2 linked regions of the Astyanax mexicanus genome follow. The protein of the gene in region 2 purifies or fractionates together with the protein of the main gene of each other region. This does not show direct contact. Links are inferred from orthologs where the notes say so. Each region holds a gene or a part of one and is shown on either strand. Other genes may lie near its edges.

Region 1 (7,865 bases), on a different chromosome or scaffold from region 2:
AATGTTTCATAAAGTTAGAATATTCTGTATAGGTAGTTTTAAGTCATGTCTATAAAGTAAAAAAGCTTTTGAATGTGGTGATTTCATAAATATTGCCAGGGGGTGGAGAGTTGCCTGCAAATGAAAACATCCAAACACAATGCTTTAAAAATGAATAATTAAAACAAGCTTACCTTCCAGTTCTTTAGAGACTCTGTGAATATCTGAACGTACCCATTTAGAAAAACTCTAAAGATGGCATTTCAGTACAAAAACATGAACTGTGTTTATTAGGAAAACACAATTAGGAATGTATTGCAGGTGTAATTTTTAATTGTTAAAGGATACAGCAGAGAGCTTTGGCGAGAGATCCAGCCAGTAAGGTGTCCGTTTGGTGACCTTTTACCTGTGCTTTAATAGAGAAAAATAAAAAGTTAGGTTTCAGTTTCAGTTAGAAAAATAATTACATCATTAATTTTAGCTCATAATGCTGAATTCACAGTTAAAAATAATCTTAAAGACGAAGAAATTACTGTATTTATGTTGCATAATACGCTGATGAATCTAAATAGATAGATAGATAGATAGATAGATAGATAGACAGATAGATAGATAGATAGATAAATGCATAAATGCTCATGTATCGTAGGAAACTGAGTAGCATTTCTTTATCTAGAGAAATTAATGCCTGTGTCCCGATAAGTGCACTATTTTATCATGCTATTTAGTCTGCAGTTTAAGACACAGTTTCTGTTTGCAGAGGGTGTGGCCATCTTTGAAACCCACCGGCCCACATTATGCAAATCAGTGCATTTCCATAAGCAATGATATTAATGATGTCAACGAGTCTCCCCAGCCCTACTGTCCTTACTATGGCACACATTAACAAAACATTGTAACATACTGAGTAAAATTCCAGTGGATATTCAAATGGAATCTTTGTTTGTATGAAATAATATGTAAGCTGTGTAACTTACTTCTAGCCATGAGATTCCTGATCTCCTCAGCAACGAGATCATTCGCTACAGACAGGAGCTCATATTTGCCATCACCACTGCCAGACGACACCTCATCCCCTGCAACGTCCCCCGCTTTCCAGTGCTTGTTTGGGTACAGAAAGTGACTTCAGGAGGAAAGGAGAGATGAAATCAAGATACACCTTTCAATCCCAGCTTCCTATCTGAATATTCTTTTACTAACAACAGGCATTCAGTTAAGTATACACAGATTGTCTAATTCTTACAGAAAAGCATCGCTAACAGCCTTTGCTAATGCTATGTCATTTTCAGATTTAAACACTCTAGACTATCAATTTCCACCAAGACTTCTCAGCTGTAAAATGTTTTGATAGCATTTACAGCCAAAAACAAAAAAAAAATAAGACAGGTTTACAGTGTTTTTTTTTATCAAAACATAAAGAAATGTTTTAAGTATGAATGCTGTGCCAAGGTCCTGGACAATGTTTACTGACAAACAGCAATGTCATACATTTAGATCTATGAATTTATTGTTATATTTTGTTCACCTGTAGTAATGACAAATCATCATGATTAAAACTAGCCATCAACTTCAGGGTACTCCCTAGTCCCACATCCACATCTTACCTCTCCTGACAATGGCTGGCAATGATGGCCAGTTTGTTGGTTCTGGTCATAACCAAGTGAGAGTTTGCCATGACCATCACAGCATCCAGGCATTTTGAGAGATTAAACTAAGAAAAATGAAAACAAGTTAAGGTTAGCTGAAAGAACACACGCACACAAACACAAACACACACACACACACACACACACACACACACACACACACACACACAAACACACACACACCTACCTCAGGTTCTCTCTGTGCCTGCTGACCCCACCAAATTGGGTTGACATCCACCACAATTACCAGAAGACTGACCTCATCTTCTGTAGACCAAAAGACATAGATATATTAATAAAAGCTACAATCCAGATAACTGCTCATCGCTCAGCATCTGTTAACCCTCTGTTTACCTTTACTGATATATGGCAGTGAAAGTAAATCTCACTGCTTTTCTGTGATTAAAAGGAAATTTCACTGTATATTAATTGCTACTGAACAGATGGCCTGATGTTTAGACACTAAGTTAAATGGAAGAGCTGATGTTAGGCTCTGTACAGTGAAGGAAAGGCCTGATATTTAGACGTGTTGTGCATGGTGTTCAGCTCTGCATGAACATAGCAATCAGTCCCTGTGTCAAACAATCCTTAGGTGTCCCAAAGTCTCTGAGAAGGTATAGGAGTAGAAAAGAGTAGATGAAAAAGTCTACTGGCCTGTGTACAATGGAATGTGAACAAAAGGTCTGATGTTTAGACTCTGTATATTAAATTAAAGGCCTGATGTTGAGATTGCGTACACTGAATAAAAGACCTGATATTTAGACTGGACTGTATGTTAAAGGAAGGGTCTGATTGTTAGACTCTGTATGCTGAAGAAATGGTCTGATGTTTAGAATCGTACATTGAACAAAAGGCCTGATGTTTAGAGTCTGTATGGATGTGTGATTTAAGATTAACATTTCTGGTGATAACTACAATAACATCACTGTACAGTCTATGAAAACATCTTTAGATCTATAAAAGAAAAGCAATCACTTGCAATGTGCCACTATACATCACAACAAGACTCAATATTAATGTAAACGATCAGGTACCATATGTGTTTAATGAACTGGAGGTACATTTTTACTATCCAGACTATATTACCAAGATTATTCACTTGCCTGCATTTCGTTTAGAGATGTAAGGCTTGGACAGAGCTGCTAAGCAATGGAAACCCATTGCATGAAGCTCTCTAAACTCTGTTTTTGAGCTAATCTGAAGTTACATGAAGTTTGGAGGTGTGTAGTCATGTGGTTCCTCTGTGCACTATACTCTATATAGCATCCACTGACCCCGCTCTGTTATTTTACACTGACAGAGCACAGAGTCGCTGTCATTCCCAGTCTCTTCCACTGTGTTATAATATTACTAGCAGTTGGCTGTGGAATATATTTAGTAGTGAGGAAATTTCACGACTGGACTTGTTGCACAGGTGCTGCCTCCGTTTACTGTACCACGCTGGAGTTCACTGAGCTCCTTTATAGAACAGTCTGCATGCCAAGCTGCTTGTTTTTTTAACCAAACCTGTGGCCAATGTGTGAGTGAACGGTTTTGGCAACGTAGTGTATATATCTACCCAAATGTCCAGTTTTTATTCATAAGAAACAGAAGGCTGACTAAGGCTAAAAGGATTTTGTTTAGCTGTGGAAGAAGAGGCAGAGTCAGAGCTGTTAGTAGATAAAGTAGAAAAGGAGGCTGGACAGTAGCTAAATAAGAAAAGGGAGAGGTCAGAAGACAAACCTTCTCATTCAGTGTTTTTATTTCTTTCTTTATGTAATTTATGTTCGACAGTAGATTAATATTAAACACACGAAAACAATTAAGGGATACATATGGAATTACGTAATAAACAGTAAAAAAAACCCTGATCTAATCCTGATCAACTTCAAATCAATTCAATTAAAATTTTATAAATATAGCACTTTTTACAACAAATGTGGTCACAAAGCAGCTTTACAAAGAAAAAAAGGTCTACGCCTCTTATTAGGGAGCACCACAGAGATGCCAATAATTGTGGCGACAACAGGGGCAAGGAAACACTCCCTTACATTATGAGGAAGAAACCTTAGCAAGAACCAAGACTCAGTCAGAGTCTACTCGGTTTGACCCGCTCAGTACAAAACATTAACAAATAACAAACAAATAACAGAACAAAACAACAGTACAGTACAGAGAGATAACGTTGTGGAGCTATTGCTAATGTAAAACAGGTTCTGAGTTCTAAATGTGAGTAGATCTTGTCTCTAGTTTTGCCCAAGAACTCTTATTGACATAGCACAGCATTTTAGTCACCCAGACCTGTTTCCCACACATGATGTGGTAGCTTACTAGAAGGTAGTGGTGTTATCCACTGCGCCACACTAACCACCTCCAGGAACTCCTTTAAAACGCTGAGAAAACTATTCCAGGTGACTATAGCTCATGAAGACACTGAGATTAAAATACCAAGAGTGTGCAGTTAAAAAAATATATTATTTTATTTAAGTTCTATTTGTATTTTTTTTATTCATTTGTGAAGCACTTTGAATGACCGTCGTGTATGAAAGGTGCTATATAAATAAACTTGCCTTGCCTTGGTATTTGACTGTATTTTATAAAAACCGGAGAGCCCTCTCACAGTGCAGCAGCTCTACAGCGCTAGGCTAAGCTAGCTAACTTTAGCAAATGTAAGTAACTAGGTCCGCTATCTAGAGTAGCCAAAAGCAAGGTTCGCAGCGGGTATTTAACTGTATTTAAACTAATTAACTGTATCTGTACTGCCTCCTCCCCGGTGATCCTGTAGCTCAGTTTTAGCTCGGGTTATTTCTGTTAAACGGAGCCGGTTCTCTCACCTGAGGCCATCGCTTCCTCCAGAGCTCGCTCGCGCCGGTTGTTGTCATGTGTGACGTGATCATTAGGGGACGGCTGGGTGAGTGGATTCACGCTGAGTTGTGTGGAGCTGATTTTTAGTACTACAGGAATTACAGGATAAACCCTGATCCTGCAGCCCGCTTTCTACTGTACTGTACTGTACTGTACCTCCGCTGTACTTCTGATCTGTGCGCTGTAGTGAAGCCGCTGCTCCAGAGCGCGGGGACTGCCGGGCGTTGCGTCAGCATCAGCAGCGTGCTGTGGACCTGCTGTGGAACTGGTGTTGAACCCAGGGCAGGTTACAGGTCTGATCACTGAACCCTGACCCTGATCCTGCTCTTTACCACATTTTCATCTTCACACCAGAGGAGTGGACTTTGCGGGATGGATGAAGGGGGTATGTTCTGTTCTGCTTCTCTGTCGTTGACTTGTGATTTTTGTTTTGTTTTCATCCACAGTGATCAAATGTCAACCTGTTCATTACTGTGTTTCTGAGTTCTGACACAAAAAATAACGTTTAATCTACTTAAGCTACATGTGAAGAAAAAAAAACTGATTAAACTGACACACACACCTACGGAGCCCCTGAAGGGACATTGTGTATTTTCTTTTACGTTAAAAAGTGTTGAGCAACACATTCAGTGGTGGAAGTTTTCAGAGGGGAATGATTCAGTTAGGTACCTATAGGTAGCTGTAAGCCCAGAGTTATCAATAGCCAGCTAGCTAACTCTTATTAGAAGTGCACAAAGAAGGTATCATTTTGTAGTAAAAGGCACTAGCTACATGTGAGAAAAAAACTGAGTAAAACTGATACACACCAGTTGAAAACCAGTAAATTGGAATTATTAAAAAAAATATATGTAATATTTGTATAAGTACATATAAACTTTTAGGTAAGAGTGTGTCTTATTTTAGCCCAATTTAGCCATATGTTTTTACATACATGAAAAGTAGCATAAAAAGTTTGAGTACCCTTGGTCAGAATATGTTATGATAAAGAGCAGGTTGTGGAATTAAGGAAGAAAATGGTGGAGGTCATTAATAAATTAAAATTGTAGTGTATGTAGTTTGGTTTGTTGCCTCGTCTAAGGTGGCCACTGGCAGTTTATGATATTCCGATTTCTGAGGTTGAGAGGTTAGAAAGGGTTATGAACAAGGCTATAAGGACATGGGGTTGTCGTGTTGCCTCAGTAATGGCGTGGTGTGGGAGAGGAGTGCTGGAACTGCCATTGACGAGCTTGGTTGAGGAGTTCAAATGTGCTAAGGTAGGATGTGAGATGCAGTTTTTAGGGTCAAAAGACGGGCAGTTTAAAGCAATGGCAGCAGTGACTAGGTCAGGGAGAAAGTGGAATCCTCGAGAAGCAAGAAGTGCAAAATGAGTAAACAGGGGCAGTGGATGAGATGGGAAAGTGTAGAGAAGCGGAGAATCACCTGGCGAGAGTTATGCGAGAAGTTTCTTTTGGGAGCTACATATGATGTTTTGCCAATGCCACAAAACCTTGCTCAGTGGGTGGGTGAGGATCCAAGTTATAAGTTTCGTGCAGGAAGTGGCACGCTGAAGCACATTTTGTCGGCATGTAAGGTGAGCCTGTTTCAGGGGCGATACACATGGAGGCATAATCAGGTATATCTTTTGCGGGTGAACTTGATAAGAAGCGGTTAGAAGTTAATAACATGTTGGAGGTTGGTTGCAGTAGGGTAATTATGTTTGTGAGTGGGGAGCAGCATAGTGGAGAAAGAGCACAGTGCTTGAAAACTGCTGGTAAATGGGCTGATGCACGAGATTGGAAGTTGTTAGTGGATGTAGGTAGTAAGCTGCAGATTCCTTGAGGAATCTCCAGTACCTTAAGGCAAAGTAAAGTGAAAGTAAGCGGGTAGTGTATTTTATAGAGCTGACTGTTCCGTTTGAAGATGAGGTAGATGGAGCTTATGAAAGGAAAAGGTTAAAGAATGCAGAATTGGTGGCTGAGGTAAGAGAGCGTAGGTGGCAAGCATTAGACCGGTGGAGGTAGGTGCTAATGGTTTTGTGGCAAATTCTGCAACAAGACTGCTGTCTGAGTTCATAATTAGAGGTTGTGTGCTGAGGACAGTTGTGGAGGAGTTGTCAGAGGTAGCTGAAAGATCTAGTTAATGGTTGTGGTTCAGAAGGGCTGAGGTTAGGTAGGAAAGGGAATGTGTTTGAAGGTGCTTCAACAGCAAGCTTGGAGGGGGGTGGGGGTGGGTCTGGGACGGCAAACACTGATGAAGGAAGGTGCCTACCTGACGACCCCTGAGAAGAGCTTGCTCTGAAGTTTGTGTTTTAAAATATGGGAATGGGCTGGGTGTGAGTGCTAGGTGTGGTCTTTCTTGCTGGTCTTGTTGTAGTTTCACACCTGTTGGCTCCCCTGGACTGTACGGCAGGAGGGAGGTGAAATAGGTGAGCAGAATAGGTCAAGCTGGTCTAGAGAGTGTCCTGCTCAGTCTAGTGGCACTCTTCACTCTACTCTCTACTCTGTTCTCCACTAACCTGCTCATGGACCACAAGTCCAGTAGCAATGCTCAAGTCTTTTCGAGTGGGCAACATGCATCTAAGGGTAACTACACCAGGAGCACGTTCAAGCCTGAGTCCTATTAACTTATTTTCGGAAAAAAGTTTCTGCTTAGAACTCAAAATAAAATTGATTTGTGTGCTATTGTGTTCATAAAGTGTGCTGTGGTTGGTTGTTGTCTGCTCAAATATGTGCTAGTGTATACACTGGTGACCTACATGAAAAGGAATTGAGCCTATTCCACGTGCTTTTAATTTGAGAAGTATTGTGTTCATTATTTTAGACATGGCATTTAATTATAAGTGAGGGTTGATTTTAAACATATTGCTCCTCTGGTGATTTTTGACTGCAGAGTTGGTGGAGTATTTTAGGACGCAGATGAGCCAGGATCCTGATGTGGCCTCTGCTGTAGCTGCCATACGTTCACTTCTGGAGTTCCTGAAGCGAGATCAGAGTAAGTTACAATAATTACATTATCGAGTTCTGGCTGAAAGATTGAAACTGAAAGACAAATGTTTCAAGGATTAATTTTTTGTGTCACCAAAGATCTAACATAGACCTAAACGTTTATTTGCTCAAATATCTAACTAACTTGACTCTGATTATAGTTGCATCTTGCAAGTAGGTCTGTTTGCCTCTGCTGTCTTTGATTCATTGTATGATGCAATAAATTGTATTAATTTTGGGAAATAATATTTATCTGGATGATTTGCTGTTTTACAGGTGAGACCATCCTGGGCCTGAGAGAGAACCTGACCAAAGCCATCGGCCGTCTTCAGGAGGCTGATTCTTCAGTGGCTGTTTCCTCTGGAGGAGAACTCTTCTTACGATTCATCAGTCTTACCTCACTGGAGAATCCCGTTAGTCCCATAAAAACACA
Region 2 (8,156 bases):
ATCCCTTACTGTACTCCCCAAACCATATTCACTATAACCTCCTCCCTATACCCCACTACATATAAACTACTCACTGTAACCTACTTCTTATACCCTACTCTACTTCCTACACCATATTCCCTATACACTACTCACTATACCCTGTTCCCTATACCTCACTCTACTTCCTACACCCTACTCCCTACAAACTAATCCCTGTACCTTACTCTCTATAATGTACTCCCTATATCTGACTCTCTATACACTACTCTATATGCCCTACTCTACTCTCTGCACCCTACTCCCTATAAACTACTCCCTGTACCCTACTCTCTGCACCCTACTCCCTATTAACTACTCCCTGTACCCTATTCTCTGTACCCTACTGCCTGTACCCTACCCATTATAACCTATTCTATATAGCATACTATACTTCCTATACCACACTCCATATACCCTAATCCCTATAATATGACCATTACAATATGCTTCCTATAATATGCTCCCTATAATATGCTCCCTATACCCTATTCCCTTTAAACCATTCCCTATACCCTACTCTTTATACCCTACTTCCTACACTACCCTACTTCCTATCAACTTCCCTCTATACTTTACTCTACTTCCTATACTCTACATCATATATCCTACTTACTATACTTTACTCACTATACCCTACTTCCTGTACCCTCTGTACCCTACTCCTTATACCCTACTACCTATCAACTTCTCTCTATACCTCACTCTACTTCTTCTACGTCCCGTCCCCCCGTCCCGCTCACCTGTGCTCCTGCAGGGCGTGGGACAGGTCGATGTTGGACACCACGTCACCGTACACCAGCACGAAATCCGACCGGACCAGAGACTTAGCGTCCACGTCCCGCAGGACGTCCCCCAGGGAGCGGTAAAGGTCCGACGTGATGATGTGGACCGTGTTCGGAGACGTGGGACGACACCACTTAGACTTCCTGTAGAGCAAAATGTAAAATGGAAAGTGAGATTTTCAAATGGATTTAAAAAAATGTCGGATTTTGTTCGGTGTCATTTATTCAATCTTTTTACAACAATTTTGCTGAAAGTGCTGCCTACTTTTTTATCCAATCAGAACAGTGGGATCTAACAACATAGCGCAACACTACTATGTAGTGGGCGGAGCTTAAATACAACACAAAATTAACCACTTCTGACACCAATCTTTACATCTAAAGAATAAAAATCAATACTCTGCGATACTCTAAAATATGGATATTTTACTTTCTCACAGCCCTCCTGATTAACAGTGAAGGGTAAGAACAGTAAAGTGTCTCACAGTAAATGGTCTTTGATCTTGTTGGACATCCAGCAGCAGAAGACGAATGTCTCCTGAACTCCTGTGGACGTCAGGAACTCCAGAGTGTAGTCGATCATGGAGACGTTGGCCAGAGGCAGCAGAGCCTGAAAGAAGAGGTGGAGAAGAACAGAGTCAGAGAGGCTGGAAAAAACAACTGCTGCAACTAATCAGTACTCGGGTACTCGAATAATCTGACCAACTTTATTTCGATAAGTTGAATAATCAACAATTATTCTTCATCTTTGCTTCCTGCAGGATCCTGTTCCAGTCCATGTTGTACCTCAACAGCTAATTCCAGTCTCTGCCTTAATATAACTAAACATTACGCAATGCAACGTAACGTAACATAACGTAACGCAACATAAAGTAACGCAACATAACGTAACGCAACATAACGTAACGCAACATAATGTAACACAACATAATGTAACACAACATAATGTAACGTAACGCAACATAAAGTAACGCAACATAACGTAACGCAACATAATGTAACACAACATAATGTAACACAACATAATGTAACACAACATAATGTAACGTAACGTAACGCAACATAAAGTAACGCAACATAACGTAACACAACATAACGTAACACAACATAACGTAACACAACATAACAGAACACAATGGAAAGCAACGTAACGTAATATAGCTCAACATAAAGCAACATAACACAACATAACGTAACACAACTTAACATAAAGTAACATAACGCAATGTAAAGCAGCGTAACGCAACATATACACCCCTATAGTGGATTACTGTACACCCTGCAAGATATCGGAGTTTGAAATGTAGTTATGAATATGAAATTACTTCAATAAATTACAAATACACAGAAAAATACTTAAGTACAGTAACTAATTACATTTACTGTTCAGTGCTGTATATTAATGACTGTAATCCACATGCAGTGACTGCAGCCCAGCACATAAACACACTAAGTTATATATCCAGAATCATGTAAACACATCATTTAACCTGTATTTTAATAAACGTTTTATACACATCAACACGCATTCCCTATAGTACTTAATAATACCATAATGGTATACTAATAAAATCCTGACAATATGTTACAGTTATGATAATAATAATACAGTGTTTTATTATCTGATGCAATTCTGGACTCATATTTAGCTAATAGACTCTGTATTAAACTAATATATCACATTTAATGAGTTTAATCTTTATTATAACATTAATGACATGCTTAAAACAGTATTTAAAGAGTTATAAAGTCTTAATAATGTCAAAGTTTACGTGAGTTTGAATGAGGTAAACATTCTACAGCTACAGCTAAGCTAAGCTAAACTGTCACTGTACATATGGGAACATGAGGGTAAAAACTATGCTAAGCTAAGCTATGCTAACCTGATACCAAAACATAAGGCAAAATGATTGTAAAAACTAAGCTAAGGTAACATGCTAAGATAAGCTAGCCTGTTACCCTTTATAAGGAAAAATGACTGTAAAAACTATGCTAAGCTAACGCGCTAAGCTAGCCGGTACCCGCGCGGAGGGCAGGCGGGCGGTAGAGCTGCGCTCCCCGGGCTGAGAGCTGGGTTTACCCGCGGCTGGTCCTTGGAGATGGGGAAGAAGCGGCGGTTGAAGCTGTCCGCCACCAGAACCGCCTGCAGCGGCAGCTGCTCCTCATCCTGCGGCTCCGCTCCGCCGCGGCGCTGCTTACCCGCTTTAGCCGACATCCTCACCCTCCACCCCGGCCACAGAGATCCAAAACACACGCTGAGCCCCGGAGAGAACCTGACTAGGGGGCGTCTCATTCAGAGCCATACTGCCTATACCCTATACACTACTCCCTGTTCCCTACTCCCTCTACCATACTCCCTATAAATATTACACACTCCCTATACCATACTCCCTATAAATATAACACTCTCTATATACCATACTCCATTTAATTTACTCCCTATACACTACTCCCTATTAATTACTCCCTATACATATAACACACTCTATATACTATACTCCATTTAATTTACTCCCTATACACTACTCCCTATAAACTACTCCCTTTAACACACTTTATTTAAAATACTCCCTATACCCTATTCCCTATAACATACTGCCTATAGCCTACTCCCTTTTTAATTACTAACTATACCCTAATCCTTATAATATACTCAGAGGCGGTCTTTGCATAGAGGCATTGCTAGGCAACTGCCTTGGGCCCCTCCCACTGCAGCCCACTGTAGGGGCCCCATACTTAGCTGCAAATTCCCATTGGCCTACAGCTGGTAATTGGGGCCCTTTGGACAGTAATTCACAGATAGTGATTCATAAATGGTGATTCTTGTGTGTTTAAAATGGAAACAAAGACAACACAATAAATTACAAAGAAATACAGATTCTGTCCACACCCCCTCTCTTTCGCGTTAAAATGGAATATTCCATCCATGCCATGTGGTCATGCCGGTGAACCGCGAACTGCTGCTTGTGAAAGACGGAATTAAGGTGAAATTAAGTGTACAAGTGGGATGTGAGCGAAAAAAGAAAAAAGAGGCTAAACTTTACTAGTTACTAACGGAGTTACCCCACTATAAATGTAACTAGTAAAAGTAATTGACTTACTTTAAATTATGTAAATTCTATTATTTTTATTAGAAAAATAACAAACGAAAATAAAACCCAAAATGTTGACAAAAATAGAATCTAACGAATTTCAAAACATAGAAACGAAAAACGTTAAAATGGTATTGATATAACATAATATAATATAACAGCTGCATCAAACAGTTTAGCGTCAGTCACATGGAAAGCACGCGCGGCATTGCATTTTAAAAAAATAATAAATAAGATCCTATCAAGTGAAGTAAAATATATGGTAGTAAAAAAATATTAAATTCACATATTTATTGATATTTAAACAAGAGAAATCAGGCAAAATGCGCCGCGCCGCACTGCGCTGCCCGCGCGCTCTCTCTCGCGCTCTCTCTCGCGCTCTCTCTCGCTCTCTCTTCCGCAGCGCGGAGCTGAATTCAGCGCGAGGCTAGAAATAATTTGAAAACTCAGTTTAGTTAAATAAATTAAGATGAGTGAGGACCTGTAAAGTATAAAGTATAGGTTGAGGTTTTGGGGAGCTGTTTCAATTATTTGAAACTGAAACTAACTGAAACTGATATTATTCTGCGCACTATTAGATAGCTTTTGATTGTGTTTTAAATGAGTTTTTATTTTATATTAATTATTTTTTATTCATTTTAAATATTTTTTTATTGATGGGCCCCCAAGCTAAATTCGCCTTGAGCCCCCAAATTGCTAAGTCCGCCACTGAATATACTCCATATACCTTCCTCCCTATAACCTACACCCTTTAACACACTCCACTTAAAATACTCTGTATACCCTATACCCTACTCCTTATAACATACTGCCAATTATATACTCCCTATAACATACTCTCTGTACCCTACTGACTTTAAATTACTCCCTATACCCTACCACCTATAATGTAATACCTATACCATGCTCCCTATTACCATATTCTCTATATCATAAAGTTACTCCCTACACCCTATATCCTACTTCTCTTACTCTACTCCATTTAAGTTCCCTATAACTGATTCCCTAGAACCTACTCCCTATTCCCTATATCCTATTCCCTATACCCTACTTCCCATAACCTACTGCCTATAATATACTCCCTATAATCTAATACATATACCATGCTCCCTGTGTCCTACTCCCTATACCCGATTCCCTTTAAATTACTCCCTATAAATTACTACCTATACCCTACTCTCTATGACCTACTTCCTATTCCATATGCTGCCTTTAAATTTATACAATATATTATATGTGAAGCAGAGTGTTAAAAAAAACAGTTTTTTTTAAATATGTGCCCATAAAATCCATATATGTGCACGAGGCAACACTTTCCTATAATTATAACTTACTCCCTTTACCATACTCCTTATTTCATATTCCCTCTACTCTATTCCCTAAGTCAAACCTTACTCCCTATAATTATAATCTACTCTCTATAGCATACTCTATATACCCTACTCCCTATACTCTACTCCCTATCCATATCTCACACCTTACTCCCATAATCATAATCTACTCCCTATAGCATACTCTTCATACCATACTCCCTATATCCTACTCCCTATAGCATACTCTTCATACCATACTCCCTATACCCTACTCCCTATACCATACTCCCTATAGCATACTCTTCATACCATACTCCCTATATCCTACTCCCTATAGCATACTCTTCATACCATACTCCATATAGCATACTCTTCATACCATACTCCCTATACCCTACTCCCTATAGCATACTCTTCATACCATACTCCCTATAGCATACTCTTCATACCATACTCCCTATAGCATACTCTTCATACCATACTCCCTATACCCTACTCCCTATAGCATACTCTTCATACCATACTCCCTATACCCTACTCCCTATAGCATACTCTTCATACCATACTCACTATACCCTACTCTCTACTCCCTATATCATATCTCACACCCTACTCCCTATACCCTACTCCCTATACCCTATACCCTACTCCCTATTCCCTACTCTCTACTACCTATATCATATCCCACACCCTACTCCCTATACCCTATACCCTACTCCCTATTCCCTACTCCCTATACCATATCTTGCACCCTACTCCCTAAGTTTAATTGGAGAAAAAAATAATACTAGTTCATGTGAAGTTTGCTGGCTTTAGTCTGGAATGTTATTTTAAATGTTATTTAAAAGTATAAATTATCCTTTTATTTTACATTATTTTTTAGAGTGGTGGTACTGGTTCTCTGCAGGCATTAAAACATTCTTTTTATAAAAACACACACAAAACAAATTAACTCAGAACGAGCACTGTAAACCCAAAACAACACACCAGCAGAATGATCCTTAACAAATGTCTTTAATTCCAAAACAGTGAATCTCCATCATGTTCTCTAACGGCAGAGCGCCAGTTTACCTGGACGGTGCGGCTCATGGTAGCAGGTTAAATATCAGCAGGAATATTTACAGCAGTTCTACATACATACAGTGTACCATCAGATACAGAGCAGTTCCACCTTAACAGCCCCTTCACCAATCAGAGGGTGCGTGTAGTACCCCCACCAATCAGTACGGTCCTAAACTCAGCGCATGCAGGAGATACAGGGCTGGATATACAGAACAGCACACTGATCAGGATTAAACATCTCAACCTATAAAAACTGGATGCTTAAATACTGTAACTGGATTGATGTGAATATATTGACTTTTGGGGCAGATTTACTAAAACAGCCGTAAATCTATTTTCCACAGATCAGAGGAATTTAGTCACTGTTTGATTGTAGTTATTGATATTAATTTATTTACACATATTGTAACGGGGGGAGAGTAGCGTCTTGGTCATTTCCACTCTGCTGGATCAGAACACTTCTACTGAACTATATAACTCAACCACCTTTACAAGTTTTATATGTTTAAAAAAAAAGTCAACGTCATACACGAGTAAACTGTTAGATTAAGCACTAGGTATGAAAGGTGATGAATAGTTGGCAATACTTTGCAAAGTTATCAAAATACACAAGAGTATTTAAACAAACAAACAAAGCTAACGAGTAACAGCTGTATAGAATTAGTACTCAGGTGATGCAGAGCAGATGAACTGTTCATGATTGGGAAAACGATTATGCATGCTGACAGCATACAAGTCTGCTTGAATGATGGGAGTTGTAGTTTTAGTGGTTTTAGTGCGAAAGTAACCACATGATGTGTATTTACTGCAGTGGAGCAAAAAGTGAATTAAATTCCCCACCTGTAGGGGGAGCCCCAAAGCCGTGAGAGCACAACGTATCAGTTTTCACATAGTGGTGCTAATAAATTAGTGAAATTACTAAATTTTGTATCTACACACAATTTTACATACATTCTTTCTCTAACATTTTGTTAACATAAGAGATTTGTTTGTGAAAAAAAAAACTTTCAAATCTTGATGATTTCCTTGCTTGCTGCAGATAGTCTAATTATATGTGGATTCATACTTTAGGAAGCGGCAGTATTATGTGGGATTTGGTATTTTAGCTCCTGGGCTCCCCCTACAGGTGAGGAGTGCAATTCAGTACAAGTCTTTTACTCCACTGCAGTAAATACAAGTCACGCTTTGAACGCCCCCTTGTGGACAAGCTGAGAGATCCAGAAAGATCACCTGTAGTTGTGAAAGTTTCTTTGATCCGGATCAGTTGATGAATTTGTTTGTTTGGAGCTTCGGTTTCTCCCTCTGTTTGGTTTGGTTTCACACAGGCACAAATCTAAACGCACCAAAATACGCACCAATAAACCACGCAAGCACATTGTCTCCTCTGATTGGTCAGAGCTGTCTGGCGCAGGAGCAAGAAAGTGAAGATTCTGTGCTCCAGCGTGTATATCTATTTATCTGTTTTAACACAGAATGCTGAAAATGTGCGTCGGTGCTTTTAAACTCAGTGTTTTTTAATGATAGTCGTGTGACCGTGAGCAGTGAATGCAGCACAGACCATGTGTGTAAACAGCATGGAGCAGCAGACACAGCATTTGTTCATAGCTGTGGTAATTAGCGTTATCTGGCTAATATATCAGATTAAACTGCACCTTATCAGCAGTTTAGCTGTAATAAAAGGAGTATATTTAATATCTGGGTCGGATCGAGACCAGATCATGTTCTCACCACAAGAGAACCGATCCAGAGTTCGTTTTGATCTGCATCCGATTACGATTACTGTTTTCACACCTGTTCAATCGAACCGCACTAAGAGTACAAACCAACCAGAGTCAGATTTAACCAAACCAAATAGTGCTGGTGTAAAACTCCCTAAAGTGGGTGGA

The links.
Region 1: the proteins of eif2b5 (region 2) and eif2b1 purify together in Homo sapiens (affinity purification with mass spectrometry; 7 studies listed by BioGRID and IntAct, counting the BioPlex papers as one, with this or other methods). This does not show direct contact. The link is inferred for Astyanax mexicanus from reciprocal best matches to the Homo sapiens genes EIF2B5 and EIF2B1.

The regions. Positions count from the first base shown.
Region 1 is NC_064429.1:3,006,538-3,014,402, forward strand, and holds the start of eif2b1 (translation initiation factor eIF-2B subunit alpha), read left to right. Parts: upstream 1-4,716; 5' UTR 4,717-4,841; coding exon 4,842-4,854; intron 4,855-7,337; coding exon 7,338-7,439; intron 7,440-7,708; coding exon 7,709-7,845; intron 7,846-7,865. Other genes in the region: gtf2h3 (general transcription factor IIH subunit 3), read right to left, coding at 174-203, 328-390, 957-1,102, 1,584-1,690, 1,813-1,892, 4,439-4,448.
Region 2 is NC_064415.1:806,150-814,305, forward strand, and holds the start of eif2b5 (translation initiation factor eIF-2B subunit epsilon), read right to left. Parts: upstream 3,100-8,156; 5' UTR 3,097-3,099; coding exon 2,884-3,096; intron 1,414-2,883; coding exon 1,289-1,413; intron 948-1,288; coding exon 762-947; intron 1-761. UniProt on the Homo sapiens protein: Acts as a component of the translation initiation factor 2B (eIF2B) complex, which catalyzes the exchange of GDP for GTP on eukaryotic initiation factor 2 (eIF2) gamma subunit.